Linked DNA regions of Stegostoma tigrinum. The protein of the gene in region 1 purifies or fractionates together with the protein of each later gene. This does not show direct contact. Links are inferred from orthologs where the notes say so. Each region holds a gene or a part of one and is shown on either strand. Other genes may lie near its edges.

What was found.
Region 2: the proteins of ecd (region 1) and aar2 purify together in Homo sapiens (affinity purification with mass spectrometry; 3 studies listed by BioGRID and IntAct, counting the BioPlex papers as one, with this or other methods). This does not show direct contact. The link is inferred for Stegostoma tigrinum from reciprocal best matches to the Homo sapiens genes ECD and AAR2.
Region 3: the proteins of ecd (region 1) and znhit2 purify together in Homo sapiens (affinity purification with mass spectrometry; 3 studies listed by BioGRID and IntAct, counting the BioPlex papers as one, with this or other methods). This does not show direct contact. The link is inferred for Stegostoma tigrinum from reciprocal best matches to the Homo sapiens genes ECD and ZNHIT2.
Region 4: the proteins of ecd (region 1) and tssc4 purify together in Homo sapiens (affinity purification with mass spectrometry; 3 studies listed by BioGRID and IntAct, counting the BioPlex papers as one, with this or other methods). This does not show direct contact. The link is inferred for Stegostoma tigrinum from reciprocal best matches to the Homo sapiens genes ECD and TSSC4.

What each region holds. Positions count from the first base shown.
Region 1 is NC_081390.1:21,632,321-21,639,204, forward strand, and holds the start of ecd (protein ecdysoneless homolog), read left to right. Parts: upstream 1-3,863; 5' UTR 3,864-3,983; coding exon 3,984-4,200; intron 4,201-6,750; coding exon 6,751-6,868; intron 6,869-6,884. UniProt on the Homo sapiens protein: Regulator of p53/TP53 stability and function. Inhibits MDM2-mediated degradation of p53/TP53 possibly by cooperating in part with TXNIP. May be involved transcriptional regulation. In vitro has intrinsic transactivation activity enhanced by EP300.
Region 2 is NC_081372.1:22,483,157-22,490,467, forward strand, and holds the start of aar2 (protein AAR2 homolog), read right to left. Parts: upstream 3,023-7,311; 5' UTR 2,909-3,022; intron 397-2,908; 5' UTR 388-396; coding exon 1-387. UniProt on the Homo sapiens protein: Component of the U5 snRNP complex that is required for spliceosome assembly and for pre-mRNA splicing.
Region 3 is NC_081366.1:12,222,285-12,229,669, reverse strand, and holds the start of znhit2 (zinc finger HIT domain-containing protein 2), read left to right. Parts: upstream 1-4,371; 5' UTR 4,372-4,465; coding exon 4,466-4,930; intron 4,931-6,752; coding exon 6,753-7,385. UniProt on the Homo sapiens protein: May act as a bridging factor mediating the interaction between the R2TP/Prefoldin-like (R2TP/PFDL) complex and U5 small nuclear ribonucleoprotein (U5 snRNP).
Region 4 is NC_081370.1:15,500,946-15,508,749, reverse strand, and holds the start of tssc4 (U5 small nuclear ribonucleoprotein TSSC4), read right to left. Parts: upstream 3,006-7,804; 5' UTR 2,769-3,005; exon of another isoform or gene 2,745-2,768; intron 2,699-2,744; exon of another isoform or gene 2,490-2,698; intron 1-2,489. Other genes in the region: slc22a18 (solute carrier family 22 member 18), read left to right, coding at 3,198-3,305, 4,078-4,203. UniProt on the Homo sapiens protein: Protein associated with the U5 snRNP, during its maturation and its post-splicing recycling and which is required for spliceosomal tri-snRNP complex assembly in the nucleus.

The DNA.
Region 1 (6,884 bases):
TGCACTGTTTACAAGGGTGACCATTAGTTCACAGTCTGCTTGAAATCTTTCGAACTTAAAAATCTGCAACCTTCAAAATATTGCACAAGGCGGCGAACAGAATCTGCTGCATCAGGCAGAATTGACTCTTTGATACAATTACTAGTGGCTTAAAATGGAGACAGTAAATACATTTGAGCCATAACATTTCAAACACGTATAATTATTATTGCGACCATTATTCCTGTCTCCCTCAATGCTGACTCTACCTCTTCCATACTATGATTTCTTAACCCAAGGAATCGCGTCCCTTTCTCTGTTCCAACAATTCTCTGAACTCCAATAACAACTATATTATATAAAACAACTTTTAGCTTATACAGACGCAAATTATTTAAATGCATTGTCCCTTTAAATAGCCCATTACAAATCCATTCGAAAATCTCTTACACCAGCAATAATGGTAACCAAACCCATTGTGAGGCAGAAGGGAGCTGTTTCAGCCCTTAGTGTCAATAACATTCTCAAACCTAAATGTCAGGCTTTGCTCAGATGGTAAGCACTATCCCTTTAATATTGAGATAAGAAGCTCAAGCCGCATTAAACAGTCCAATGTAGTTCAATTGCTGTTCGATTTTTAAAAAAGCTACTTGACAAAAGATAACACATGATCTAATCTTTATTTACTCAATCTAACACTTATTTACAGCATGAAAAAGTATAAGGTCATATCTTCTAACTCAACCATACCATAGTTTAAATAGGCGCCAGTTTATATGCACAAGTGAAATAGCTACTGAGCAAGTCTACACCTCAAAAGTGGCTGTAAAACACAAACCTGAGGGGTCGAAGGTGCTGTTATTTATGTTCTAAAACTATCCATGGTCGATGTTAAAGATAAAATATTGGGGCATAATGTTTTCAAAGCAGCTACTTAGTGTGCAAGCATCTCAATAGATAATTCGAGGTATCCTGAGATTATGGAAATGTGCTATATAAATATAAATACTTTTTGTTTCTGGTTGTCAATAAGCTGGATGCACTGTTTCAGCTGCTAATTAATGCAACAATTATTTTTACCACCTACTTCAACAGTGTGCTTATCAGCAAATTTGAGAGTAGCAATGACAACATTTGTACTGTTCTTTGCTACAAAACAATGCATTTCACAGACAACCTTTACGCAAGAAGGGAAATGTAAAGTATGTTTAAATTACAGATTCAAAAAGTAAAAATCAACTATCATAGCCCATTTATCGTCCTCCAACTAACTATTTATTTTGATCTGTGGCTATTATTCCTTACATGTAGTTCATTCATCACTCCTGCTGATTTTTCTTCTTTGAGAGAAGTTTTATTAGACACTCTGTCTTTGTCAGTGTGCTTCTAATGAATTTTTACCATTTCTCCTGGAGGATTGCCAATGCTGCCCGCACAAGAATCAGTCCCTGATAATTTATTGGTGTCCTGTTACCCTAACGAGGTAAACTTTTTTTTTGCATTATGGCAGGTTAATGTTTAAGTCACATTTCACAAAAATTCAACTAGGTTCTAATCGCCTATCAGCAGCATACCACCGGAGACTTGACTCAACACCAAATCATGCTCAATCCCTGCAAGGTATAAAGACAGTAACTCATCAATAAACAACTGGCAGCAGTGGATTTGGGTTCTTCTCAATTATCACAAAATATGTGAGCATGTCATGATCCGCCTGAATGTGGAGTGATCACACACTAACATGGTTCAATTACTTAAGTGCTTGTCTCTCTGCAAAACAAAGATTTTCACACACATATATTCTAAGTAATATATTCTCTTCTCAGTTGACTAAGCCAACATGTTTTTTTCTAAGCAATCTTATAAACATTAGCTTTCAGCATTGTAGAAACTAAACAGCACACCTTGCAACATTTTGATGTTCAAGTTCAATGCCACATAACAGGCATATCCACCTTAATCCAGATAGACTAACAGGAGGCTGGAAGAACACAGCAAGCCAGGCAGCATGTGGAGGAATGGAGAAGTCAACGTTTTGGGTATTACCCTTCTTCAGGATTGGATATGGGGGTTGGAGGAGGTGCAGATAAGGGGGATGGTGATAGGGGTATGGTGGCATTAGGTAGACACTTTCCACTCCCAAACCCTCTCTGCCTTCTGCAAAGATCATTCCCTTTGCCACTTCTTAGTTCATGCCACATTCCCCACCAACCACTCCAACACCACCCACTCCCCGCCGACCCCCGTATCTTTCCCTGTAACCATAAAAGGTGCAACACCCTGCCCACATACCACATCCCTCGTCTCTATCCAGGGCCCTAAACAATCCTTCCAGGTGAGACAGTTTTCACCTGTATCACCTCCAGCCTAGTCTACCGCATCTGGTGCTCCCAATTTTGGTGAAACCAAACATAGACTCGGTGACTGTTTCACCGAGCATCTCTGCCTGGCCTGAAACGGCAAGCCTAACTTCCCAGGAACCGCCCATTTCAATCCACCCTCTTCCCCTCCGACATGTCCATCCTCAGCCTCCTCCAGTGTCGCAGTGAATCAGAGCTCAGATTAGAGGAACAACACCTTATCTTCCACCCGGCCACCCTTCAGCCCGGAAGACTTAATATTCATTCTCTAATTTCAAATAACCTTCCAACCCATCCCCAAGCCTCCTTTCCAGCCCCACTACCTCCTCTCTATTCCACATGCCAACTCTCCCTTCCAGCTACCAACCGGATTCAGCACTCCCATCAACCAACCATACCATGCCTACTACCAGTGTCCACCTATCACCACCATTCCGCTACCCTCTCACCTCCCCCCACCTTTATCTGCAGCTACCCCCACTCCCACATTCAATCCTGAAGAAGGATAATGACGAAAATGTTGACTTCTCTTTTCCTCCAGATGCTGCCTGGCTTGCTGTGTTTTTCCAGCATCTGCAGTTTGTCTCTACCTCAATCCAGGTACCCAGCTAAAATATAAACATAGTAATGGTTGTCTACAAAGGATTTGTGATTATGTTCATGTCTTTGGCTTTTATCCAGGAGAATTTCTGGTTGACAGGCCAGAGTTGCAATTTGAACATTACAATCAAATCACTGCATTCTAATTCACCATTTAGAACTCTGATGAATTTCTTACCTGAAGATGTTCCCTGGCTACATATCACCGTGACAAATGCCATAAGAACAACAGACCTTTTAGCCTCCATGTTTAACAAATGCATGAGGGTCTAAATTTTGCTCTATGCTTTAAGAGGCAAGAGCAGAGTTCAGAGATTATACATAGGAAAAGTAGATACATAGCTGCAGGTAAAACTTAAGGAAATTACTTTACACAAGTACAATAAAATAACTATTAAAATTAATAAAGGTCCAGTGGCCACACCTAGTCCATAAATAAAATGCAAATAACTAGTGGACAGGGTCTGCAGTCCTGACATTACAAATACTCCTTCCACCTATGACATGCGCTCCATCAAGAAAATGTTCAATTGGTTAATATTTCTATTGCCTGTAAATTGCCCAGAGTAAATTGATAAGCACAAGATGGTGTAGGTTGGTCGAGAACTTTGCTGCACAATGTTGCATACTGGACAGAAACAGAGACCACATCCCGACATGATGTTGTTAGGATGAGGTGAGGTTCACTTGGCGGTTGTTCCATCTCCCACACACAGCTCAGACATCCCCACCTTCTTCCTCAACAGAACTGTCCTCTCTACCGTAGTCGGCAACTGATAACAACCCGGTAAAACTTTGGTTTTATTTTTAAGCAAGGTTTAAGACTAAAACATCACGTTACTTAATTTGAACAACATCGCGACGTCAGTGACAGAGTGGCGTCACTGAGACGGACCACGTGATCGCATTCTAGAGGAAGCCATTAAGTGACGGACCCGGTCGGTGGGGGAAGCCGTTCAGTGACGTTCCAGGTCGGGGGGAAAGCCGTTAGGTGACAGACCCGGTCCCGGGTGGGAGAAGGCATTAAGTGAGGGCTGACGGGCCATGGAGTCGCTGGTAGATGAGCGGCGTCGTGACTGGCCGCAGGACACAGTCGGCTACAGGCTTTATGAGATTGGCGGCGAGGCTCTTCAGTCTGATCCCGATCCCCGGGCCCGGTTGGAGCAGCAGTTGGAGAAGATCGTCGGCAGCCTGGCCCCGCTCTGTGCCGGTTACATCTGGCACAATGAGGCCTTCAGGCTGCAATACACGCCGGCCCGGGGTGAGTACACGGCCCCCTCTGGTATCCACGCATGCCTTTCTTCCCGTGCAAGCCAGTTTGTGGCTCTGTGCCTGAGCACTTCTCGTTATATCATTGTTAGAAGTTATATCATTAAATCTGATATCAAATGGTGATAAATGTAATTAGGTCACGCTTAATGGTACAATTCCATACACGTGCTAGGATGCAGAGCCACAGAAATGTGAATTAGCGCAGTGTGTAGTTGGAGGAGCACAGCAGGCCAGGCAGGGGACTCGGAAAAAGGGTCTTTTTCTGAAGAAGGATCCCGTTCCGAAACGTCAGCTTTCCTGCTCCTCTGCTGCCTGGCCTGCTGTGCTCCTCCAACTCCACACTGTTATCTCAGACTCCAGCATCAACAGTTCTTACTATCTTTAAATGTGAATTATATTTATTATAAAATAAAGTTGCCATAGACCTACGGGACCATAGGGTGGTAGTGGTTTGAAGACAACAGATGTTGGAGATCGCAGTGGCTCAGGCAGCATCCATGGAGAGAGCAGCTAACGATTCGAGTCTCGATGACTCTTCAATGGAGCTGATGTGAAATGTGGACGGAGCTGCATTTGTGCTGTAGTTGGTTTAACCTGAGGTCACCATGCCCCATGCAAAGGGAGACATTGATATGAAGACTCCTTCGTTGTAAACTCAGCTAGTTAGGGAATTGAAGCTGTGCTGTTGGCATCGCTCAAGATAGCAAACAGCCATTTGTCCAACAGAGCTAACCAACATGAATGTCTGTAGAGGAGAGAGAGATAATGGGAACTGCAGATGCTGGAGAATTCCAAGATAATAAAATGTGAGGCTGGATGAACACAGCAGGCCAAGCAGCATCTCAGGAGCACAAAAGCTGACGTTTCGGGCCTAGACCCTTCATCAGAGAGGGGGATGGGGAGAGGGAACTGGAATAAATAGGGAGAGAGGGGGAGGTGGACTGAAGATGGAGAGAAAAGAAGATAGGTGGAGAGAGTATAGGTGGGGTCTGTACGCTCATTCACTGCCTTCAACACTTACTCCCTCTATCCACAGTGACAGCAGTACCAATGTGAATCATCTACAAGATGGACAGTATCAATCCATCTGTGCTCTCCCAATGGAACCTTCCAAACCCAGTATCTCTACTATCTGGAACCAGCGCAGTGATGAATGGTAGGGAGTCAGTTAGTTTAGCAAACCAGTAGTTTATGATGCAAAGTGAGCCAACAATGTAGGTACATTTTCAGTTTCAGCTGAGGTTGTCATTAGGTCCCAGTGGTTGGGCAATCTTATCTGAGGCATGGTGACCCTCAGGTTAATGTCACCAACAGCTCTCTCCCTCAGATGAGAGAGCACCTTACTATCCTCTGGGACTAAGATGACTTGGGAACATTGCCATTTGCAAGTTTTCTGAATTACAGTACCGTTAAGTCAAGATTGTAGAGCTTCTTCCCTAACAGCACTGTGAGAGAACTGCACAATATGGACTGCAGGTGTTCAAGGAGGCACCAACTTAGAGGGATAAGTAATAATCAGCTTTTACATCTCAAAAACATTTTCTAAAGATTCCCATAGGAAGTTAACTACAATAGAAATTCCTTCAGAATTTTCCATCTAAGCTGTCAAGTGAACAGTGTGTGGAGGTTTGGTGATGGGCGGGGACACTGTAGAGACATCACTCAATGAGAACGACCCCTGTTGTGGCAACAATCTGCGTGTCAAGCCTTTGAACATGTGATGGTTGTCTTGCTGCAGTTACTGCACAAGGAAGCTGGTGCTATCCATGGGATTACAGATGTTTTTAATTAACCTTTCAGACATGTTATGACCCGTCTGGTGCAAGTGGGTCTTGAACCTGGACTTTTTCACCCAGAGATAGGAATGTTACCACTATCCCACAAAAGCCCTAAAGTAAGTGATGACAAGTAAGTTAGGATGGCATGGTGGCTAGTGGTTAACACTGTTGCCTCACAGTGCCAGGGACCCAGGTTCGATTCCATCTTTGAACAAATGTCTGTGTGAAATTTGCACATTCTCCCTGTATCTGTATGTGTCTCATTGCTCCAGATGCTTTGGTTGCCACTTGCAGTCCAAAGATGTACAAGTTGAGTAGATTTGCCATGCTAAATTGCCCTGTAATGTCTAGGAATGTAGAGGCTAGGTGGCTTAGCTTTGATAAATGAGGAGTTACAGGGATAGGTTGGAGAGCTGCATTTGGGTGCGATGCTCTTTGATGGTTCAGCGTAGACAATGGCTGAATGGCCTCCACACTGTGGTGTCAAAGAGAGATGAAAATTCTGCCTCATTTTAGACAAATATACAACGGTACAGAGATGAAAGAAACTTATAATCTGAGCTCCTGAACTAAGCTTGTGTGACAGTGAATTGAACAATGTTCTGTCATTTGTAAATTCTTGTGATTATGCCTTTGCTATGACTTGTACTCTGATTTATCAGGAGTTGTTTTTGTTTTGAGTCTAAACCCTGCTGATCTAAGCCGATTTAATGTACCATTGCTTAAATTTTAAGAGGCTAATGCAAATCTTTTCTTTTTAGGAGATGTTCCGGCTCACGTTGGTGGTGTCACAAACTTTGGTGATAATGTGGATGACGAATGGTTGATTGTCTACCTCATTCAACAAATCACCAAAGAGTTCCCAAACTTAGTGGCAAGGTATAGAATTCCTTAG
Region 2 (7,311 bases), on another chromosome or scaffold:
TGTTTCATATGGATATGGTCCTAAACATTTGTCCAGTTCAGTCAGATTCTCTCTTATCTGCTCTCTTTCTTCTTCCGAAACTGCAACTGAAACTATTTCTTCTTCCTTCTTGTCCCATCGCTTCACTAGAACTTCCTTCTGTTTTATATGAAAGAAACAACCCGTGCGTGGTCCTGTTATCCGAATATCTCTGCTGTTCACAGGGCTGCAATGCATAAAATGGATTCCCGGTGGGATCATCTTCACTCCTTTAAATTTGGGGCCCACTTGCCAACAATTATAATCAATGCCAAATTCTGTGCCCTCAGGAACACCAAGTATTATAAGCGTGCCTCCTTCAAAGAACAGTTTTTTCGCCAGTTCTTGATCCATTTCCACAGTAGCCATATTTTGGGCCTGTATTCCAAAACAGACAGAGAAGAACTTAGTTAAACATCACATCAACATCCAATTTACGTAAACTACTAAGATCTTACATTATAGAGAACTACGGCCATTAACGGCATTCAATATTGCTTGTTACATAGCACCTTAAGTTACCACTATTATGAGCTGGCATTAATTTTGCTTTAGGCAATTTTTTATTTTCATAATTCTCAATTCCACACTTTAAAGTAATCCTACCCATTTTGTTCCACAACCTTCATTCACACATGGTTACCTCAAAAATGAATTTCTTTCAGCTGGCCTCTCTTCACAAAATTAATCTAGTATAAATTAGCTCCTGCGCCACATAAATAGCATCTTATCCATTTTAACCTCACCAGATCCCTGCCACTTTCTATCTTACCTAATGGATTTTGTCCCTTTATCAAATTCTTCCAAAGCTTTCCTCCAGCCTGCTTGGGAAATATCCACTAATTCAATATCCTTGCCCACATCATTTGCTCCCTACCTAGATTCTTGTTCATTCCCCACACTCCTCACAGTAGATCAGTGATGGCTTTTGTTTACTCTGAAACTCCTTTGCCATTCAGATTCTTTTTCTAAATCAGTCTCAATTATTCCCACCTTTCATCTTTAAAGCATCCTTTGAAAACTTAATGAATCAAACAATGCCTTTGGTTAGGCCAAAGCTGATCCCATTTCAAATTCCTTAACAAGTTGTTTTGAATCCATAGCTCTATCAGCACTAAGATGCTGCAGCATAACTGCACAAAGGCTGCATGTGCGTGTAAGATGTGATTCAATTCCTAGGGACAACATTCTGAATAACTTTACAGGCAGAGGCATTAAGCAATCTGACATGCTTCAATCTGTTCTTTTACACAAGAATGAAGATCATCAATAAATTAAAACCGACATTTTTGTGAAGATAAATGAACTACATAGACTGTGAAAAAAACATTATACTTTGGTTAAAAGTTCTATCAAAATTGCTACTGCTCACTGATGCCAAAATCATTTCAACAAATGGCTAGCTACTTGCTTAGAGTACTTATGCAATTAACTAACTAGGAAAGACCATAGTCACTTGCATGTTTATTCCTCTCAGGCAGTTTGCTGAGAAAGGTCAGGTAAATTGCAACCATGAAAACAGAATACATACATTCATTGATATTATTAAGAAAGCATAAACGCAACTGCTAAAACACACAACCAAATTATCAAAGACTTTATGAAGTGCTACAGGGCATACAAGTAGTAGATTTTGCCAAGCCAAAGGCAATAAAATTCCACAGAAAAATATCCTGATGTTGAATTAGGTAGCAAAAACCTATCATAGTTGTGCAAGCATTTAATTACAAACCTATAGTTTAACACCAACAGTTCTTTATCCAGAAACCAACTATCCACTTTAAGATGATAACATGAAGGAGAAGTAGGCCATTCAGCCCATCAAGTCTGCACCATCATTCAACAAGACCATGGCTGATCTGATAATTCTCAGCTCCACTTTTCTGCCTTTTCTCCATAAGGTATGAAAAACCAAGCTTTTTGTTGAAAAAAAATCAATCTGTTCAGATATGTTAATGACACATCTCAGGCAGTTGAGCCTTGAACCCAAGCCACCTAGCCCAGAGATACAGACACTACACTTTGAACACAGGACCCGTAATAAGAATCCAAGCTCTTCTTTTAATATCTGGAATTATCACAGACAACTGAATGTTTTTCTTTCCCACCACCAAATCACCTGTGAGACCTTCCACCCAATATCCACCATCCCTAAGTTATCCTTGTTTCCAGTTATTCATTCAATGTGGACCACCAAAGGTGAGACTGGTAGAGAAAGACCGAGAGGCTAAAAGAACTAAGCTCTTAAAGACAAAGAACACCTACTGTCTCAATGTACTCTAGAGTTATTTCAGTTTGCCCCTTAAATGGACCTGCATTTCTAACGCTATCAAATAAGACCTGACTCACGATATTATTCACAATGTGGCAAGCCCTAAAAATAACAGCAATTTAAAAGAAATACAGTAATTTAAAAATTCAAACTAAAGCAGGGGGTTTAAGGGAACAAATTAAAATATTTTGGCCATATTGTTAGGATGAATAAGACTGAACATGTCCAACAACTGACTGGATACTCCCACTATCATCACTGGCTAGAGTCTGGGAAAAGGAAAGAATAGATTAGCTCAGACATTTATGCTGAATCTGAGTTTGCAATTAAAACTAAATCCCTCAATCTAGTAACAAGAAGATAATCTGGAGCTGTACGAATTGTTATGAATTTCTTGTGTTTTTCTTAAAGTCACTATTTATGACCTTTATTACAGTCTATTATGCTGTAAAGGTTTAGTGAAAGCTGTGTCTAATGCAGTTGATGTTAGGCGCCTCCCCTCCCTCACACCCACCTCTCACATTCTTTCCCCCCTCACCCACAGACAGACAGACAGACAGACAGACAGACAGAGAGAGAGAGAGAGAGAGAGAGAGAGAGAATTTGAACCCCATTCACCTTCGTTCATTCAGCCCTGAGCTTTAATTCCCTGCGATACCAACCGGCAGACTGCTGGAGCAACACCAAATACATACCGGACCCCTTCCGGTCCGTCAATGTAACCGTCCCCAGCCGCACCAGCACAAACCGGTCCCTGAGCTTATGGTTCCGCCCCTGACACTGCCCTCACTCTCAGCTCATGCAGACCTTCCAAGTCAATTCGTTTCTACAAGGAATGAAGGTGATGTTCTATTCAGCGCCTTAACCCCATTGTAAACCAAACTATTTAATCTATTGAATGGAAATAAAGTTTTTTTTTGTTTTATTATCTTCCCCCCATGGAAACCACTCGTTCAAAGTTCTCTCCAGGCAAAGTATTATTGCACTAAGTCTTTTATTTGAAGGTAATATGGTAATATTGAATAAATAACGAATACACTTCTCAGGAAGAAGAATATTGCAGCATAATGGTTGAAAAACTCCTTTAATGTAACACCTCAACAGCCTGTATCCAGGATATTTAACACACAGTCCTGGCCTTCCTTCTGCCAGGTCACTGTTACTGCCACAACACCACGATTCCACATGACAGCCTGCACTTGTAACTCACCGATCTTTACTTAAACCAGCTCTTCCTCCCAATTCTGATACCGACAAACTTCATAGACGTGCCTATTTTCCCTGTTGATTGTCCCTATATTGTAAGCTCCTCAGAGCTAAGCTCTTCCTTCAGGCAGAAGATACAGAACCCCGAACACACACAGCAGATTAAAGAATATCTTCAGCCCTGCTGGTATTTGACTGCTGAATGGACCTCTTTAATTTCAAATCTAATGTTGTCCTTACTTTTGTGCACCTTTGAGCAGTTGTAACTCTAAGCGCCCTATGATTCATTTGTCCTTCTTTGTTACGATCTGCCTGTACTGCTTGCAAAACAAATCTTTTCACTGTAATCAGGTCCATGTGACAGTAATAAATAAAATGCTTGGGATATTGCTTTAATCCAATCTCGACACCGCAGTTGTTAAATTATTGAGAGTGCCAGATTGTGGCGGGCATTAATGATAGGAAAATTCTAGACAAATCACCTGAATATGTCCAAATGAAAACTTGTGACCCATTTGCTGCAAAAAATCAAAATAGATTGTGTTCTCTGTTAGGGCCTTTCAAAGAACCTACCACTTTACTGGTGTTGCTGTTTGCACAACCTGACTAGCTTTTGATCTTCCATAGGTCTTGTCCATCCTAGAGTGGCTGATCATGTCTGACCCTACATCAATGTATGGAGAATGTCAGTATACTGTTGGTCAGCATGCTGCACCAACATTGAATCCAATCAAGGATAACAAGGTGTAGAGCTGGATGAACACAGCAGGCCAAGCAGTATTAGAGGATCAGGAAGGCTGACGTTTCAGGCATCATCCTCCAACACATCCGCCATTTGCAATCCGACCCCATCACCAAAGACATTTTTCCCTCCCTACCCTTACCTGCTTTCCGGAGAGACCACTCTCTCCGTGACTCCCTTGTCCTCTACACACTCCCCTCCACCCCCACCACACACGGCACTATTCTCTGCAACCGCAAGAAGTGCTACACCTCCCCCCTCACCCCCCGTCCCAGGCCCCAAGCAGACTTCCCACATCAAGCAGATGTTCACCTGCACATCTGCCAATGTGGTATATTGCATCTCCTGTACCCGTTGTGGCCTCCTCTACAACAGGAAAACCAAACAGAGGCTTAGGGACTGCTTTGCAGAGCACCTACGCTCGGTTCACACTAAACAACTGCACCTGCCAGTCACAAACCATTTCAACTCTTCCCCCTCCCACTTCTCAAACCACATGTCCATCCTGGGCCTCCTGCAATGCCACAACAATTGCAGGAAGAGCAACTCATATTCCACTTGGAACCCCTGAAGCTCAATGGTATCAATGTGGACTTCACAAGCTTCAAAATCTCCCCTTCTCCTATCGCATCCCAAAACCAGCCCAGCTTGTCCCCACCTCCCTAACCTGTTCTTCCTCGCACCTATCCCCTCCTCCCAGCTCAAGCCCCACCCCCATCTCCTACCTACTAATCTCATCCTGACCCCTTGACCTGTCCGTCCACCCTGGACTGCCCTTTCCCCTCCCTAACTCCCCATCGACAGTCACCTTTACTGCCTCCATCCCTGCATCTTTGACCTGTCTGTCTCCTCTCCACCTATTTTCTCCTCTATCCATTTTCTATCCACCTCCCCCTCTCTCCCTATTTATTTCAGAACTCCCTTCCACTCCCCCATTTCTGAAGAAGGGTGTTGACCCGAAACGTCAGCTTTCCCGCTCCTCTGATGCTGCTTGGCCTGCTGTGTTCATCCAGTTCTACACCTTGTTATCTCAGATTCTCCAGCATCTGCAGTTCCTACTATCTCTGAATCCAATCGACACTGACACGACAATTTCTGCCCCATCATCTTCAGTTCTTCAGCTGAAATTCCACTTTGTGTTCTTGCAGGTCTTAACTGGTTTGTAATGTGAACATGCATTTCAGCTTTCTCAACAACATGTCAGGACTTTGCACAGGATTGATTTCAAGATTTCAGAAGAACAAAGTAAACATTTGAAAAGATATTCACTCTTACTATCTTATTGTTTTTTTCAAATTTTCTAAATAATCTTGGGCAGTTTATTTTTTGCATTATGGCCTGTCTTTAATTGGTTTATTTAACAATTGGCATTAACACAGAATAGCTGAAGTATTAATGCCTTATTCAGGACAATTAACAATTATGTCACAATTATTGTTTGGTCCAAATAAAGCATGCAGTATTAATAGACTTCAATGGATTAATGGAAAATCTTAATTTTAATAAACCATTATGTCCACAATTTGTTATATACCCCAACATAGATGTTTTGTGTAATGAAAGGGAGAATCAAGCTCAAATAAAAGAGCCTTATGAAACATTTTCATGAACCTGTAATAATCCCTAATATCTCTTTAATGTATTGGGATGGATGCTGTTATCAGCAGTGCAAAGCTGGTAGCACTTATGTTGCCAGTGCTCCCGGTCATTTGCTTGAGTAGTCTGAATACAAGGCAAGCATAACATAAACTATCTTAGAGGGTCTCTTGTGGTACATTGGTAGTATCCGTATAACTATGCCCAGAAGGTCCGATTTCAACACCTACCACAAAAGGCGTCTCATAAAACATCCAGAGATAGTGGGAACTGCAAATGCTGGAGAATCCAAGATAACAAAGTGTGAAGCTGGATGAACACAGCAGGCCAAGCAGCATCTCAGGAGCACAAAAGCTGACGTTTCAGAAGGGTCTAGGCCCGAAACGTCAGCGTTTGTGCTCCTGAGATGCTGCTTGGCCTGCTGTGTTCATTCAGCTTCACACTTTGTTAACATAAAACATCCAAACCGGTTGATTTTAAAATAAAACCATCTTGGGTGCAAAGGCTGTATTTGTGGCACTGCCACCACTAGGTGGAGGATTGCACCTGCATTTGTAAAATTAGAGCACCTCTTGTTGGGATCACTGTATCCCTCCCCCTCTGAATCTAAGGACATAGGCCAGTTCATTTTTTTGTAGCTTCTCCTGAGGCATTTTAGCGCCAGGTCAGGTTCCACTGACTCTGTCTTAGATACAGGTGGCATGTGATGCACAGTAACACGCCTCTTGGGCCTGGAGAACCTTGGAAGAAATTTACTCTCCTATTGAGGCAGCAAAGACTTTGAGGTGGTGATATCCACCTTATCCATCTCAGATTCCGAAGAATCTTCAATGCTTGATGGACAGGGAGAATCTGTGGGTTCCTCCAGCCTTTCTGCCTGTTCCCAGGAGGCAGGCACATCTTGCTCCGTTTTTGAGTTTGCAGCTTTCATACAGTCCCCATATGTTTGTTCAGGACTGTTGCACCTGCCCAAAGTTTACACATCACTGGACCTGACCTTGCATCGACCATGCCGCTTACCAGTGCAGGACCAATCCTGTATCTCCTACTCCAAACTTCATCACCTGAGGTAAACTTCCTCTCTCGCTTAGCAGAGTCATGTGTCCAGCGCTAACATTCCTGATGTCATTTCACCCTCCCTCCCGGATCCGGGTGAATCAAATTTAACCTGGTATGGAGTCATTTTCCCATTTGCAACTCTGCTGGAGCTATCACTGTAGTTGCCTGAGGGGTAGACTTATAATGAAATAGAACAGGAACAGTTTGGTATTAAAACAGGCTAATATATCTGCCAGTGGGAGGCAGCTCAATGCACCCGCATTTGCAACTTCGCCTCCTGGTCAGTGTTCCAACTTGTAATTATATGCACTTAGTATTAGAGCCTAATGCCGAATTCAGCCTGAAGCTTTGGGCGGCACTGCCTTGTCCTGTTTGTTAGACCTACCAGGGGTTTGTGGTCTATTATTATTAGAACCTT
Region 3 (7,385 bases), on another chromosome or scaffold:
TAAGTAATTACTCAGGAAACTTGTCAATCAATTTTGCATAGAGACCTCCCACAAATAGCATACGGATGAGGAGTATGATTAGGCCATTCACCCCATAATCCGAAACTCTTGCCTGTGATATCCTTTAATAATTATAGTTGATCTGATTCTAGCCTCCAATCCACATTCCTGTCAATTGTCAACACTCATGAGTAAAGAATCTACAGGCCTTACAGGTAATCCATGACCCCACCTCCATCACACTAGAGAAGCAACTGGCACAAATTGCTGACCCTCAAAATGTTGCTGTTAATCTCCATCTATAATGGGAAGCTCCTTATTTTGTTTCTATGAAGAAAAACATTCTGTCAGCATCCATTCTGTCAGGACATTTTACTAAGATCAACTCTTGTTCTTCTAAACTGTAATGTATATAGACCAGTCACCCTTTCACCTTAAGACACCATGTCTGCTGATGATTCAAGGTATCAGTCAGTGAATCTTCTATGAAATAGTAAATTGTTTGCATTGTGAGTTTAAAGATAAATATTGACCAGGCCACCAGAGAACAGTCCCTTGCTCATCTTTATATAGTGGAAGTGAACATTTATACATCTAGCGGAGGGAGTAAAGATGGGACCTTGGTTTAACATCTTGTCCAAAAGACTATAGTGCTCCCAGAACACCTTGCTAACAGTGCAGCACTCCCTCATTATTACCCTAGCGTCTCTGAAGTGGGACTTCAATCCACAACTATTTCCAAATTACCCACAGGCTCAGGCAGAGCAAGGACAGCAGATGTCTTTCCCTAAATGTCCATTGTGAACATTTGGTGGGGTTTTAAAAGTGATCCGTGATCACTTTGTGGTAACTTTTTGTAGACAGCAGATATTTAAACAACTAAATCCAAACTTTGAAACTGTCCGTGATGAGGGAAATGGTTACTTCACATAATTGAACTAGTAAACAAGAACAGGCTAATACCGTGGGCACTGGTTCAAATCTTATCACAGTGGCTGATTAAATTTACGAAAATAGAAACTAGTTTCAGTATTTGTGAAATTTATCATTGTCAGAAAAACCTAAAGGGTTCACTTGCTGCTTCTTCTCTGTTCAAGCCCACAATAATATGATTGACTCTTAACCTGCCTACTGAAATAGTGTTGCATGCCACTTGGGAGCAATTAAGGGTGGCAGCAAATCCTTGCCAGTGATGCCAGCATCTCCTCAGTGTAACAATGAGGGAATACTGCGTTGTTAGCTTGGTGCTGTAGGAATGCCGCACTCTTAAGATATGCTGTCTTTTGGATGAGACGTTAAACCAAGACCTCATCTCGACCCTCTCTACTATGAAAGGATAATGGGCTTTAAACTTGTCTCTGTGGGTTATTAGTCCAGGTGCAGAAATCCAAGTTCATTGAGTAAAAGCTTAGCCGTGTGTCCAAAACACACACATTATGGCTTCTAGTGTACATTCCTACATTAGTATCAACTGCTTTGCATTGGTGTCATGTCAAGTTTGTTGTTGATGCAGAACCCAGGTTGGTGAAGTGATTGGAGAGAAGTGTGGGACATTAATCAATAAGGTGGAGAAGGTGAGTGTTGGGCAATGAGGAGCTATTTTTGTTGCCATGAGAAATTTCCTGTGTGCCCATGGACAGGATGAAATCTGCATACAAACCAGGCAAAAGAGTCTGCATAGAACCAGGATACCTCAAATTAAACAGAAAATCCTTCAAGGTAGCCACTCTTCAAGAAGCTACTCTTTCCATAGAAGTCATAATAGGAGAGAAGTTAGTGGTACTGGTATTTCAGGGCAAGTGATATACCATATCAAAGTCCCAATGTAATGGTAAAGTCCCAGAAGACCACAGGGCGAGTTACGGTTTATCCCAAGTGTCACAATGTACTGTGTTGGTGAAGCAATAAGGTTTAGTACAGAGGGGGAGGAGAGTTAAAATAAGTAGCACAATTTTTAAGAGGATACAGGAAGAGAGCCCTTGGTGTGTATGTACACAAATCTTTAAGTGACAGGGCATATTATGTTTAAAGAACTTCAAATTTATTAATACAGGAAGGAATGAGAACAAGGAATTTGAATTAACCTTTACTCCAGCTAGATCTCACTCAGTATTTTATACTATGTCCAACTCTAGGCATTGCATATTAGGAAGGCTGTGAAGACCTTCACAACCATGCAGAGGAGATAACATTACCAACGATTATAGACTTAACTATATGGAAAGTTCAGAGAAATCTAGCACATCTGGCATCCATCGAATCAAAATGTTAACTCTGCTTTCTCTCCTCAGAAGCTGCCAGATCTGCTGAGTTTCAAATTTACAACATCTGCAGTTATTTTGTTTAGAGAAGCAGGGGTTGGTTTCTTTAAAGAGAAGGCTTGGTGGTATTTTCATATCGATATTCAAAATCATGAATGGTTTTTGATAGGAGGAAGTGGAATTAACTAATTTTAACTAATTAACTAATTTTGAGTGGAAAGCAGTTCAGTAACTAAAGGAAACAGGGTTGCAAAGGATCCAGAGGTGACAGGATTTGTATTTTAAAGCATTGAGTTATGGTCTTAAATGTGCTGCAACATGGTGGAAGTGGGTTGAAGGGTTATGATGAGGAGGCAGAATAGTGGAGTTAAAGCTGTGATGAAATCAGCTATGATCATATTGAATGGCAGACCAGGCTCAAGGGTCTATTGCCTCTTGCTCCTAATTCTTGTGTTGTTTCACACAAATGAGTAATCTGGTATGTGAACTTCAGTACTGCTGTGATGCTAGATTACAGCTCCTTCCACATCACCCGATGAAGGAACAGCACTGCAAGTTTGTGATTTCAAATAAACCTTTGAAATATAATATGGTGTCTTATGACTTCTAACAAAGTGACAGATAAAAACAAATTGCTGTAGCAAGAAAGGAAAACTGAGCTAACGTTTCAAGTACAGCAACCCTTTTTCAGACTGTTCACAGTGCAAAATATTAATTAAAGATAAAATGTGAGGCTGGATGAACACAGCAGGCTCAGGAGCACAAAAGCTGACGTTTCGGGCCTAGACCCTTCATCAGAGAGGGGGATGGGGTGAGGGTTCTGGAATAAATAGGGAGAGAGGGGGAGGCGGACCGAAGATGGAGAGAAAAGAAGATAGGTGGAGAGGAGAGTATAGGTGGGGAGGTAGGGAGGGGATAGGTCAGTCCATGGAAGACGGACAGGTCAAGGTGGGAGGATGAGGTTAGTAGGTAGGGGATGGAGGTGCCGCTTGGGGTGGGAGGAAGGGATGGGCGAGAGGAAGAACAGGTTAGGGACGCAGAGACAGGTTGGACTGGTTTTGGGATGCAGTGGGTGGAGGGGAAGAGCTGGGTTGGTTGTGTGGTGCAGTGGGGGGAGGGGACGAACTGGGCTGGTTTAGGGATGCGGTGGGGGAAGGGGAGATTTTGAAGCTGGTGAAGTCCACATTGATACCATTGGGCTGCAGGGTTCCCAAGCGGAATATGAGTTGCTGTTCCTGCTGGACTTCACCAGCTTCAAAATCTCCCCTTCCCCCACCGCATCCCAAAACCAGCCCAGCTCTTCCCCTCCACCCACTGCATCCTAAAACCAGTCCAACCTGTCTCTGCCTCCCTAACCTGTTCTTCCTCTCGCCCATCCCTTCCTCCCACCCCAAGCCGCACCTCCATCCCCTACCTACTAACCTCATCCCACCTCCTTGACCTGTCCGTCTTCCCTGGACTGACCTATCCCCTCCCTACCTCCCCACCTATACTCTCCTCTCCAGCTATCTTCTTTTCTCTCCATCTTCGGTCCGCCTCCCCCTCTCTCCCTATTTATCCCAGAACCCTCACCCCATCCCCGTCTCTGATGAAGGGTCTAGGCCCAAAACGTCAGCTTTTGTGCTCCAGAGATGCTGCTTGGCCTGCTGTGTTCATCCAGCCTCACACTTTGTTATCTTGGGTTCTCCAGCATCTGCAGTTCCCATTATCACTGACGCAAAATATTAATTGTTTTCTTGCCCTAGAGTCTGTCAACCTTCTGAGTTTCTCTGGGAATCTGAAATTGTTTGTTTTAAATCATGTTAAGTCTGTTAAGATTGACCACTGGAGATAAAGCTTTGGTTAAAATTCAAGCAAAGTTTAGGAATTGATTCAAAATAGGACAAAAATAAACTATGGAATTCTATTGAAGGGTCGCTGGTCATAAAGTGTTAACACTTTTATTCTCCACAGATGCTGGCAAACCTGCTGAATTTATCCAGCGCTTTCTATTTGGTAGTTATCTGTCATTCAACATGACCTGTTGTATTTTCTATCCAAGGGAGTCGGAGTGCCACAGTATCAAAGGGTAACTGTTCCCCCATCGCCACCCTTTTTCGGATTACGGCACTGACGTGAAGTTGGAAGTCCCCTATTCCGAGACTGGGAGCATTACTGCCGCAAAGGAGCAGCGCTGCTTTACGGCAGCGCCGGTACCCATCGCGATGTCACTGGCGGGCCCGGTACGCCAGGCCGAGGCTTGTGGCCTGTGCTCGGGGAGCGGGGCCGCCGCCCGCTACACCTGCCCCCGTTGCAATGTGCCATTTTGCTCACTGCCCTGTTACCGCGGCCGCAAGCACCGGGCGTGCGCCGAGTCTTTCTACCGGGAGGCGGTGCTGGGCGAGCTGCGGGAGGACAGCCGGCGGGCGGGAGGCGCCGAGGGTCGGATGGACCTGCGGGAGAGCCTGAGGCGGCTGCGGCAGACCGAGGCCTGGGAACCGGGGCAGCTGGAGCCGGACGACCCGCAGCCTGGCAGCACAGCCAGCCGGCTCTGGAACTCCCTGAGCGAGGAGGAGCGACGCGACTTCCAGCGGCTCCTGGAGAGCGGCCAGGCCGCGGCTTGGGTCGAGGAGTGGAGGCCGTGGTGGGATCGGCGCCCCCCAGGCCCCGTCCAGGAGCTGGTGCCCTCGGTGAGAAACAGCGCCGCAAGTGTCTGGGAGGTCAATCTACAGCTCCCATTTCTCACCCATCCCCTACAGTGGGGATAGGAGCTGGGACCTGTCCCTGGGGGAATTGCCCCCTGGTTTTCACTCTTAGGTGGACCCTGGGGACAGTAACTAAAGTAATTTTGAGTTTTAAGAATTTCAGGATAAATTGGTGTCATTTTTTAAAAAAAAAATTAGGGCATGTTCCTTGAGAAAACACAGGAAGGAGTCCGGAAGTCAGGCTGACTTACCTGATCTCAGTGAACTTGTATTTAGTTGGCCTAGTGCTGTTATCACCAGTTTTTTATTTATCCAGAGACCCAGGTAACATTCGGAGAACCCAGGTTCCTGGCAGGTAGTGAATCCAATGATGACTGTGGAACAAAAACAAAAACAAAGTTGCTGGAAAAGCTCAGCAGGTCTGGCAGCATCCGTGAAGGAGAAAACAGAGTTAACGTTTTTGGGTCCGGTGACCCCTCCTCATGACAGTGTCACTTGTCAGGAAAAACACATCTGGAAGCTACTGTCCTTACCCAGTTGGGCCTACATGTGATCTTTAACTGACTTCTGGGCTATTAGGGATGGGCAATGAGTGCTGGCTTTGCCAATGATGCCCACATGCCCATGTATGAATAAAAAGGTGGCTCTTGTGGCTCTTATCTGCAAGATGAAGATGCAAGAAATGTAAGTTACTGAGAAATCTATTGACATTTCATGCCCATACCTATCAGGAATGGTAAAGATAAAGTTGCTAAAATCATACCAGACCATTATGCTGCTTTCATTAGAACGACATAAGTGATGGTGGTTTAACCTGAAGGTCTGGGAGAGATTGAGAAGGAGATCCCTTGACGGTAACTTCAACATGCTGGAATTGAGACCACACTGTCAGAGTCTCATTCTAATGCTAAGTGGCCTCCAGGAGATGGCAGGATACCAAGAAAGTACTCTTTCTCTGGAATATGATGTATTACATCCATTAGGGAGAGCAGAAGCTTTAGTTTGTCTCTGAAATTGTAATATTCCCTCAGTACTGCACCTCTGACAGTGCAGTGCTCCCTCAGTAGTGACCCTCCACAAGAGCATCACTCCCCTACTATTGTAACTTGGACATTGCAACACAGTCGCAGTAATACCCCTCTGACTGTGCAGCACTCCCTTAGTTTTGCCCCGTTGACAGTGGAGCACCTCTTCAGTACACCTCGCTGTTGGCCTAGAGATTACTTTCAAGTTCAATTCTCCCTTGGGGTGGCACAAGGCTTAGCGATTAGCACTGCTGCCTTAAGCACCAGGGACCCAGGTTCAAATCCACCCTCAAGCAACTGAGTAGAGCTTACGCGTTCTCCCCATTTCTGTGTGGGTTTTCTCGTGGCGCTCCTGTTTCCTCCCATAGTCCAAAGATGTGCAGGTAAGGTGGATTGACCATGCTAAATTACCCATAGTGTCCAGGGATGTGCAGGCGACATGGATTAGCCATGGGGATTACAGGGATAGGATGGGGGTGTTGGTCTGAGCAGGATGCTGTTCAGAGGGTTGGTGTGGATTCAATGGGCTGAGTGGCTGGCTTCCACACTGTAGGATTCAATGATTCTTGATCCTGAATAAGGCCATTAAAAGGCCTGTACACTTGATTGAAAATGTTGCACACAGCAAAACAATGGAGGAATGTTACTAAACTCTCTGGCGTGAACTTGAAACCATGAACTTATCCTCAACAGTGAGAATGGTATTAGTGAGTCAGTACTGAGAGCTAGTGAGCACTTACCAGTACTATTTATAAAAAAAATTGTTTTATTTTCTTCAAAAGGGGCTGGAAGAAGATCAAAGATGTGAGAAGATAAATAAAGCACAGCCTATGGTTGATGTTGCGGGAACTGGGAGTGAGAATAATTCAGAGATGGATGCATTCACAGAACAGCTAGCAACAGACAGATTCTGGGAACATGATGATTCTATTCCTGCAATCTGTAGTAACATTGTTCCTTTGCTCAGTTTGTGTTCAAAGGCCTCTCCCCTGATCCAATACAGTGTGGTGAACATTCTGTATGCATATGCATTCTCCATGAAGCTGGTGAATGGGGACTTATCAGGACCAATGAGGGACGAGTTTATCGAAGCTACAATGACAGTTTCTGAGGCCCTGAAGGGCAATCGTGTTTTTGTGTCTACTGCAGAGGCTGTGCAGTCTGGGGTTGGAGCAGTGCGGAACAGCTTGTATTTTTCTAATCCCTTTGAGCCAGTGAATACAATCAAGGACACATCTGTCCTGTTAACTGGAGGAAACGGGACATTGGACGGTCATTACACTTTGGCTGCAATCTCCCACCTTCATCGGGCACTAGGAAAAGCAAAGCGATCTCGACATAAGAAGGACCCTGATCATTACCGGGCTCAGAAGAAGTGTGCGTTCCTTCTGTCCTGGGTGAATGAGCATCAGGAT
Region 4 (7,804 bases), on another chromosome or scaffold:
TTTAGAAGAATGAGAGGACACCTTTTTGAAACACAATATTCTTAGGGAACGTCACATGGTGCATGAGAGGCTGTTTCTCCTTGTGGGAAGAGTGTGGGACTAGGGGGCATAATCTCAGAGTAATGGGATCCCCACTTAAGACAGATGATGAGAAACTATTTCTCTCAAAGGATAGTGAACCAATGGAATTCTTTACTGCAGAGGACAATGGAGGCTATGTTGTTAACTATGTTCATGGCTGAGATAGGCAGATTTCTCTTCAGTAAGGAAGTCAAGAATTGTGAGGATAATGTGAGAAAATAGAGCTAAGTGGGGTTGATTATCACATCAGGGATTTATGTCGAGGAAGAAGACCAAATGTTCTAAATAGCCTGTTGCTGATCCTACATCTTCTGAAGTTGAACCTCATGGTTTTTATGTCTAAGTTCAAGTTGTATCAAGTTTGGCCGGGTTATTCTTGCAGCAAAACCAAGTGAGTTTTCTCATTAAATTGTACTAAACTTAACATGTTAATTGGCATTTCAACCATCACAGCAAAAATCCTGTCAGAATCCATCCCATCTCACCACGGGCTGTTCCATGGAGATCCTCCCTAAGACTAGCATCCCTTGTGGTTGCTCCATTTTCCAAAGCTATCCTGTCAGTCATTGAAGTCAGGAAAAATGTCAGAGAGAGGGAGGCTGGCCACCCTTCTGAGAGAAACCTGGGGGTCTTTGTAGATTGAATGGTCAACAGAACAGCAGTCCTATTCCCAGGTGACCAGCCGAAGAGGCCACACCACCACACCATGCCAGAATGGTCAGAGATCACCAGATAGTCAATGCTTTCTCCAAAATAAGCAGGACTGGCTACAGTGCTGCCGGAAGGTGAACAATCTCCTCTGCTCTGACAGGGTAAGTGTGGTGCTTTGTTCTTCACTACCTTACACTTAGCAGACACCCTTGACTGAGGACTGCTGCACAGCATGGCCACCTGACTGGTTGTGAGACTGTGTCAGCTGTCAATTCAAGGCACTGTACAGTAAGACAAGGAATGCCAGTAGGGACCAGGGTGATTGCACGTGAAGGAAGCAAGGGAGCAGCCATGGACGATAGTTTAGTCTACAGCACGGAATGGGTTCCTGTCTCTCAGAGGTACCTGCATCCAATATAGGTGTACAGTGCTGCCAGTGTGTCCTGGTAGATAAACCTGCATTTGAGAATGCCAGGATGGTGGCAATGGCACCCTGAAAGTCAAGATCTACTGTACACGATGGAAGGGTACATAAGGGTGGTATTGGTGAATTGTGTCCTAAGGTACAGTTTTTCTATGGGCAAAACATAGGTCTTTTGCAGCAAGTAATGAACTGAAGCCATCTAAACCTACTCTGGTCGACTTTTCATGACAGCTAGTTTGTCTGGTAAGATTGCAACTCATTGCTATTGATAAATGATTTAAATAATTTCACCATGTTGTTTGACAAGACTGTACAAGATGCAGTGACCTTAACATTGAGACGGCCCTCAAAATCTCACCCGATTCCAAGAAAGATCTCATCACAGCCTGATAAAATTCAACCAAATTTGGCATTAAAACAGTAATGGAACATTTAGAAGGTCACAGGCAGGTCACATTATTAGAGTTCTGCATTTGTGCACCAGGGCTGATTCCCAAGAATGAAAGAGTTCTATCACAGAATGGTGTAGTACTTGGGCCTTTAGTTATTGGCAACTTTATTGAAACACGTGAAGATTCTAAGGAGATAGTAGGAACTGCAGATGCTGGAGAATCTGAGATAACAAGGTGTAGAGCTGGATGATCACAGCAGGCCAAGCAGCATCAGAGGAACGGGAAGACTGACGTTTCAGAAAATTTTCTGAGGGATCTAGGCCGGAAACGTCAGCCTTGCTGCTTGGCTCGCTGTGTTCATCCAGCTCTACACCGTGTTATCTAAGATTCTAAGGAGGCTTGACCGGGTAAATGCTCAGTGGAAGAATCTGGAAAGGGCGGGGGGGGGGGGATTGTGAAGTTTACTCATGCTTGGATTTTTCTATGGTATAGAGCAATGGAGGCCGGGGCACTAGTATACTGAAGGCTAAATTAGACAAATTAGTAATCTACAAGGGAATAATGTGACATAGGCAAGAATGTGAAATTGAGCATCCAGATCAACAAGATATTACCGAATGGCAGAACTGGTTCGGGTAACCAAAAAAATATCGCAGCCCTGTTCGTCTTTCTAACGGCTCTCATTTGCATGTTCTGCTAATACTCACTTCTCGGCTCTGTTGTGAGCGATGTCACTTTGATAAAACGACCAAGAGTGATCAAAGGCGATGATGGCCTGATGTCTTCTACACGGAAATGAGTTAGCACTACAGTAATAAGTTATAACAGTTGCTTTTTACGCTAGATTTCCAGACTTATTTGTTTCATGAAATATTCATATCTCCGCATGAAGATTGCGCAGTGTGTTCTGCTACATCTTTCAATCATTCCGTAATACTCACAAATTCCGAGTGGTGGACAAGATATTGTCTAGCTCCAAAAGCACAGCGGTTCTTTGTTCATTCAGTTGTGACTCTGAGTCCATATCCCTCTAGTCCCGATAATAGCCTAATTCCCAGATACTGACTCCGGTCTCTGCAACACCTTCTACAGGCCCATTCACTGACAACAAGCGCGCCACTACCCTGGATGCGTGATGGGAATTGTAGTCCTACAACTCTCGCTTCATCCTCGAGAACTACAATTCCCATCATACCGTGCAAACCATCTCCAATACTCACCATGGTAGCAACCGGCCAGTCTGCCAAGCGACGGTGATGAGCAGTTGCTCTGACGAATTAAGAGCGGAGGAATTGGTTTATTCCAATCGGGGTGAGGGAGAAGACGGAATTTTTTGTTGCTGGGCCACTTGGAACGCTAAGTGCGCGCTAAATATTGCATGCTACTGTTGGCAATGGCGGGACGGATAGAGGGATATTGAGTTGTTGTGTAAGCCTTCTGGGTGCCCGCGTTGTGGGATGGTTAGTACCGCCCCTCTGCTTTGTCCTGTTGGTTGGGATTCCCACCGGTCACCTGGTGCTGTGTGTCGGTACGGACACCCGCCCACCTTGAATTAGATGTTTATTCAGCCAGGCTGATCATAGAGGCGCAGGAGTTTGAGGTGTGCAATCACACAAAACAGATAGGAATCCTGCCTGCGCTTGGAGATCATGGCAATTCCAGAGCAAGGCAGTAAATCGGGATTCGTCATCCTGATAGCTCACATCAATATGGCTCTATATTCCACTTGCTTCTGGATCCAGACTGGGGTCGTGCCTGTGAGTAGTAATCTGCCTTTTACTGATAAATGATAAGTTAAAATGTAGTGGAGTGCCCTCGATTGCGTAATGTTCGGAGCTTGTCATATTAAGAACGACAATTTAAAGAAGTCTGCTGAATCACGAAACGTTAGAATTGCCTTGTGTGGTCTCATTCTAAACTTCCTTATCTTTAATGTTTCATGATTGAACGGACTGTCTAAGCTGCAAAGAATTTAATAACGTTTTTAAACCTGGGCACTGATCGTTGCACGAGCAGGAAGTACCGCGAAGTTTATTGAGTAATGCATCAAGAAGTGATTGAAATTTATGTAATAGTGTAGTAAACCAAGCTGTTCGACCTATCGTTCTTGAACCGGCTCTTTGAAGCAACTAGCTAATTGAACACACTCCTCCCCACTCCTGTTTTATTTCTTACCACACAGTTTTCCTCTTCCCCCCCCTAACTGCACCTTGTAAATTATTATTCATCGGCACATTATTCCAAACAAGGCATTCCAGGTCGTAACAATTGTTACACAACGTGGGAGGAAATTATTGCTAAAAATGCTGGAGATCACAGCCGGTCAGTCAGCATCAGAACGTTAGTTTGCTATCTCGCCACGAATTCTGCCTGACCGGCTGTAATCTCCAGAATTTTTTTTTTGTTTTCAGTAACAATTGTTAACTTGGTTGAAAAGAAATCTCAGTTCTATGAGAAAATTAAAAAGAAAATTAGCGGATGTTGAAACAAAAACTTGCTGAACAAACTCGGGTCTTTTTTTCTCCACAGATGTTGCCAGACCTACTGAGTTTGCCCGGCAATTTCGTTGCTTCCTTCAGTGCTCCTTTTGGTTCTTTTGCCGATTGCCATGCTCTCTTTGAGAATTTCGCTGTCATTTCTGAGACTTATTTTATTGTAAGTTTTTACACTGCCAACGTTAGGTCGATGGGCTCTCGCATTGCAGGTCTAGTGATAATGGGAACTGCGGATGCTGGAGAATCCAAAATAACAAAGTGTGGAGCTGGATGAACACAGCAGGTCCAGCAGCACAAAAGCTGAGATGCTGCTTGGCCTGCTGTGTTCATCCAGCTCCACGCATTGCAGGTCTGTTCCCTTCCCATGTTTTGATTAATGACGTAATCTTTTTAACACCCCAGTCTTCTAGCACGTCCTCCATACCCAAGGAAAATTGGAATTTCTGGTGAGGATCTCTGCAAGTTATATTTTGTTTCTTTCAGTTGCCTGCAGGAGCGAAAGTAGCCCATTCAGCCTCTCGAGCCAGCTCTGTCATGTAATAAGATCACAGTTGATTTGACTGCAATCTTAAATCCACTTTCCAGCCTATCCCTGATAGTCTTTCACCCTCTTGCCAGCAAGACTCTACCTACCCCGGCTTAAAAATCTTTATGGACTCTGCTTCCATTGCCTCTCCAAAGACTGGTGACTCTGGGGGGGAAAGATGCTTCATCTGTTTTAACTGACTGACCACCTATGTTTAAACAGTGACTCCTAGTTTTAGATTCTCCCACCAGAAGAAACATCTCTACAACTACTCTGTCAAGTCCTTTCAAGATCTTGTATGTTTTGATCAAGTTGCCTCTGTCTTGTAAACTCCACTGGATAAAAGCCTAGCCAGCCAATATTTTCTCATTAGACAACCTGCTCATTCCAGGCACTGTACTGCAACGGGTCTAGTAACGGCTGCTCTCTGGTTTGTACCAGAATGTGCTGTTCTAAGAATTTATCCCCTAAAATATTCTATGACCTGTTCTTGGCTTCGTCTGCCTCTGTGACTTTTCTAGTCTGTATCTAGATTAAAATTTTCTGTGATTGATGCTGTGCTTTTTGGACATAGTTGTCATAATTGATGTAGTTAATATTAGGAGGCCTGTACAACAATCACGCAAGTGACATCTTGCCTTTACCATCCTTCATCTCTTGCCAAACCATTTTCACATCTTAAAATTGGTTATCCCTGTCTATTACCATCATTAGCTAACAGAGTCATTAGCTAACAGAGATACCAATCTTGCAGCCATCTCTCTGGCTGTCAGATTGTATCTATTTTGTGTGCATTTGCAGTTCAATTTCTGTTTATTTATTGAAAATTGTGTGCATTAGATAGTGTGTTTAGTTTTATGCATGTTTCTAATCTCCAGCCTTATCTGTTAATTCACTGTTAGATTTGTAGTCTCTACCATTTCTTGAAGAAGCCTATTTATCCTTTCTAAAACTGATATCATTTTTGTGTCGTGAGTTCATTGATCTAGATATATCCAAATTTGATCCCTTCCTCATCATTTTTTTAAGCACAAATTACTCTCTACTTCCCTAGTTACATGGCTCAAATAACATCAACCCAGTATGGTTCAGGTGGTTACCCTGAAGTGCTGATACTACTTTCCCCAATATTGATGCCAGCTTCCCATAGACTAGAACCCACTTGTCTGACATCACTCTGAGCCATGCATTCATCTTCTAATCTGATTTGTCTTGTACCACTTTGTATGAGGTTAAGGTAATTCAGATAATCAGATCCCTAAACAAAATGACTTTTCTGAAACAAACATAAACCAAACTAACTGGAGAAACTTAGCAGGTTTGGCAGCATCTGCTGAGAGAGAGGCGCAGTTAATGTTTCAAGTCCAATGACCATTGATCAGACTAATTTGTTCTAAAGAAGGGTCACTGGTTCTGAAAAGTTGACTGCTTTTTTCCTCCACAGATGCTGCCTGACCTCCTGAGTTTCTCCAGCTATTTCTGTTGTTCACACCAAGATGACTTTTCTACTTCGAGTACTGTCGACCTTTTAGTACTTCTGCTCTATCTACTTCTCTACTACCTCCACCTTTGACGTCAATAGTACTATTTGTGATGACAGATGGAAAGGCTTCAGAAATCAGAATAAGGGCCCTGAACTGAAATGTCAACTGTCCTGCTGTTGTGATGCAGCCTGGCCTGCTGAGTTCCTCCAGCTCCACAGTGTTATCTCTGACTCCAGTATCTGCAGTTTTTCTGAAGAAGAGTCTGGGCCTGAAATGTCAGCCTTCCTGCTCCTCTAATGCTGCTTGGCCTGCTGCGTTCATCCAGCTCTACACCTTGTTATCTCTACTTTAAAGGTAGCCTGTGTATCATAAAGCCAGGGAGGTGATGGCCTAGTGGCGTTATCGCTGGATTGTTAATCCAGAGACCCAGAAAACATTCCAAATCCTGCCACCGCAGATGGTGGAATTTGAAGTCAATAAATATCTGAAATTAAGAATCTAATGATGACAATGGATCCATTGTAAATTGTCAGGAAAAGCCCTTCTGGTAATGTCCTTTAGGGAAGGAAACTGCCTTACCTGGTCGGGCCTACATGTGACTCCTGGCTCACAGCAAAGTGGTTGATGCTTAACTGCCGTCTGGGCAATAAATGCTGCCTAGCCAATGACACCTTCATCTCGTGAATGAATAAAGAAAAAAAACACCTCTTCAATTGGCAGAGAAGAATGAGAGATGAAGAAAGACACCTTAGTAACTGCATAAACAGAACAGAGAGAGATTCTGTGATTTCAAATATGACACTGGAGACCTTATTACTAGAGACTGAACTGTGAGATATTAAGGAGACAGTGAAAACAGTCCTGAAGAAGGTCACTGGACTCAAAACATTAACTTTTTCTCTCTACAGATACTGAAGACCTGCTGAGTTTCTTCAGTATTTTCTGTTCTTGTAACCTCTGAAGCAGTGAGAGTGGACAGACATGAAAGTTAATGCCAAGAGTTTGACACCAAGCACTTATATACAGTTCTGAAAATCAAATAACTTGCGTACATGGTAAAAGGTAGTGGGGCAAAAATATTTTTACTCAACTGTTCAGACACATAATATGGCTTCAAGGCAGGTCGGACTTGAAACTGGACCTTTGGCCTCAGTGCATCTTCAGATGCCATATTCAATTAATAGTACTGCCAAACTCTCTGCCTATGCAATGCATAACATAATAATTACAAAGTTAACAGACAGGCATTCATGTGTTTCCTCTCACTACAATGCACCCACACCTCAGCTTCTAATATACTGTCAGCTATGAAAAGCATGTTACCTAAACACAGACACTTTGCTGTCTCTTACAGAGAAAGCTGACCCCTGATAGACAGCAATAGCAGAAAAACCAGTAGAGATGGATATGTGATAATGGGAACTGCAGATGCTGGAGAATCCAAGATAACAAAGTGTGGAGCTGGACGAACACAGCAGGCCAAGCAGCATCTCGGGAGCACAAAAGCTGATGTTTCGGGCCTAGACCCTTCATCAGAGAAGGGTGATGAAGGGTCTAGGCCCGAAACATCAGCTTTTGTACTCTGAAATGCTGCTTGGCCTGCTGTGTTCATCCAGCTCCACACTTTGTTATCTAGAGATGGATATGGTTTCATGTGATGATCCTCATGGGGGGAGACTGAGGATAATTGAAACATCCATCACTGAGTCCCTAGCCAGTGGCATTACTGTCATAGTTTGTTTGATTCCTCA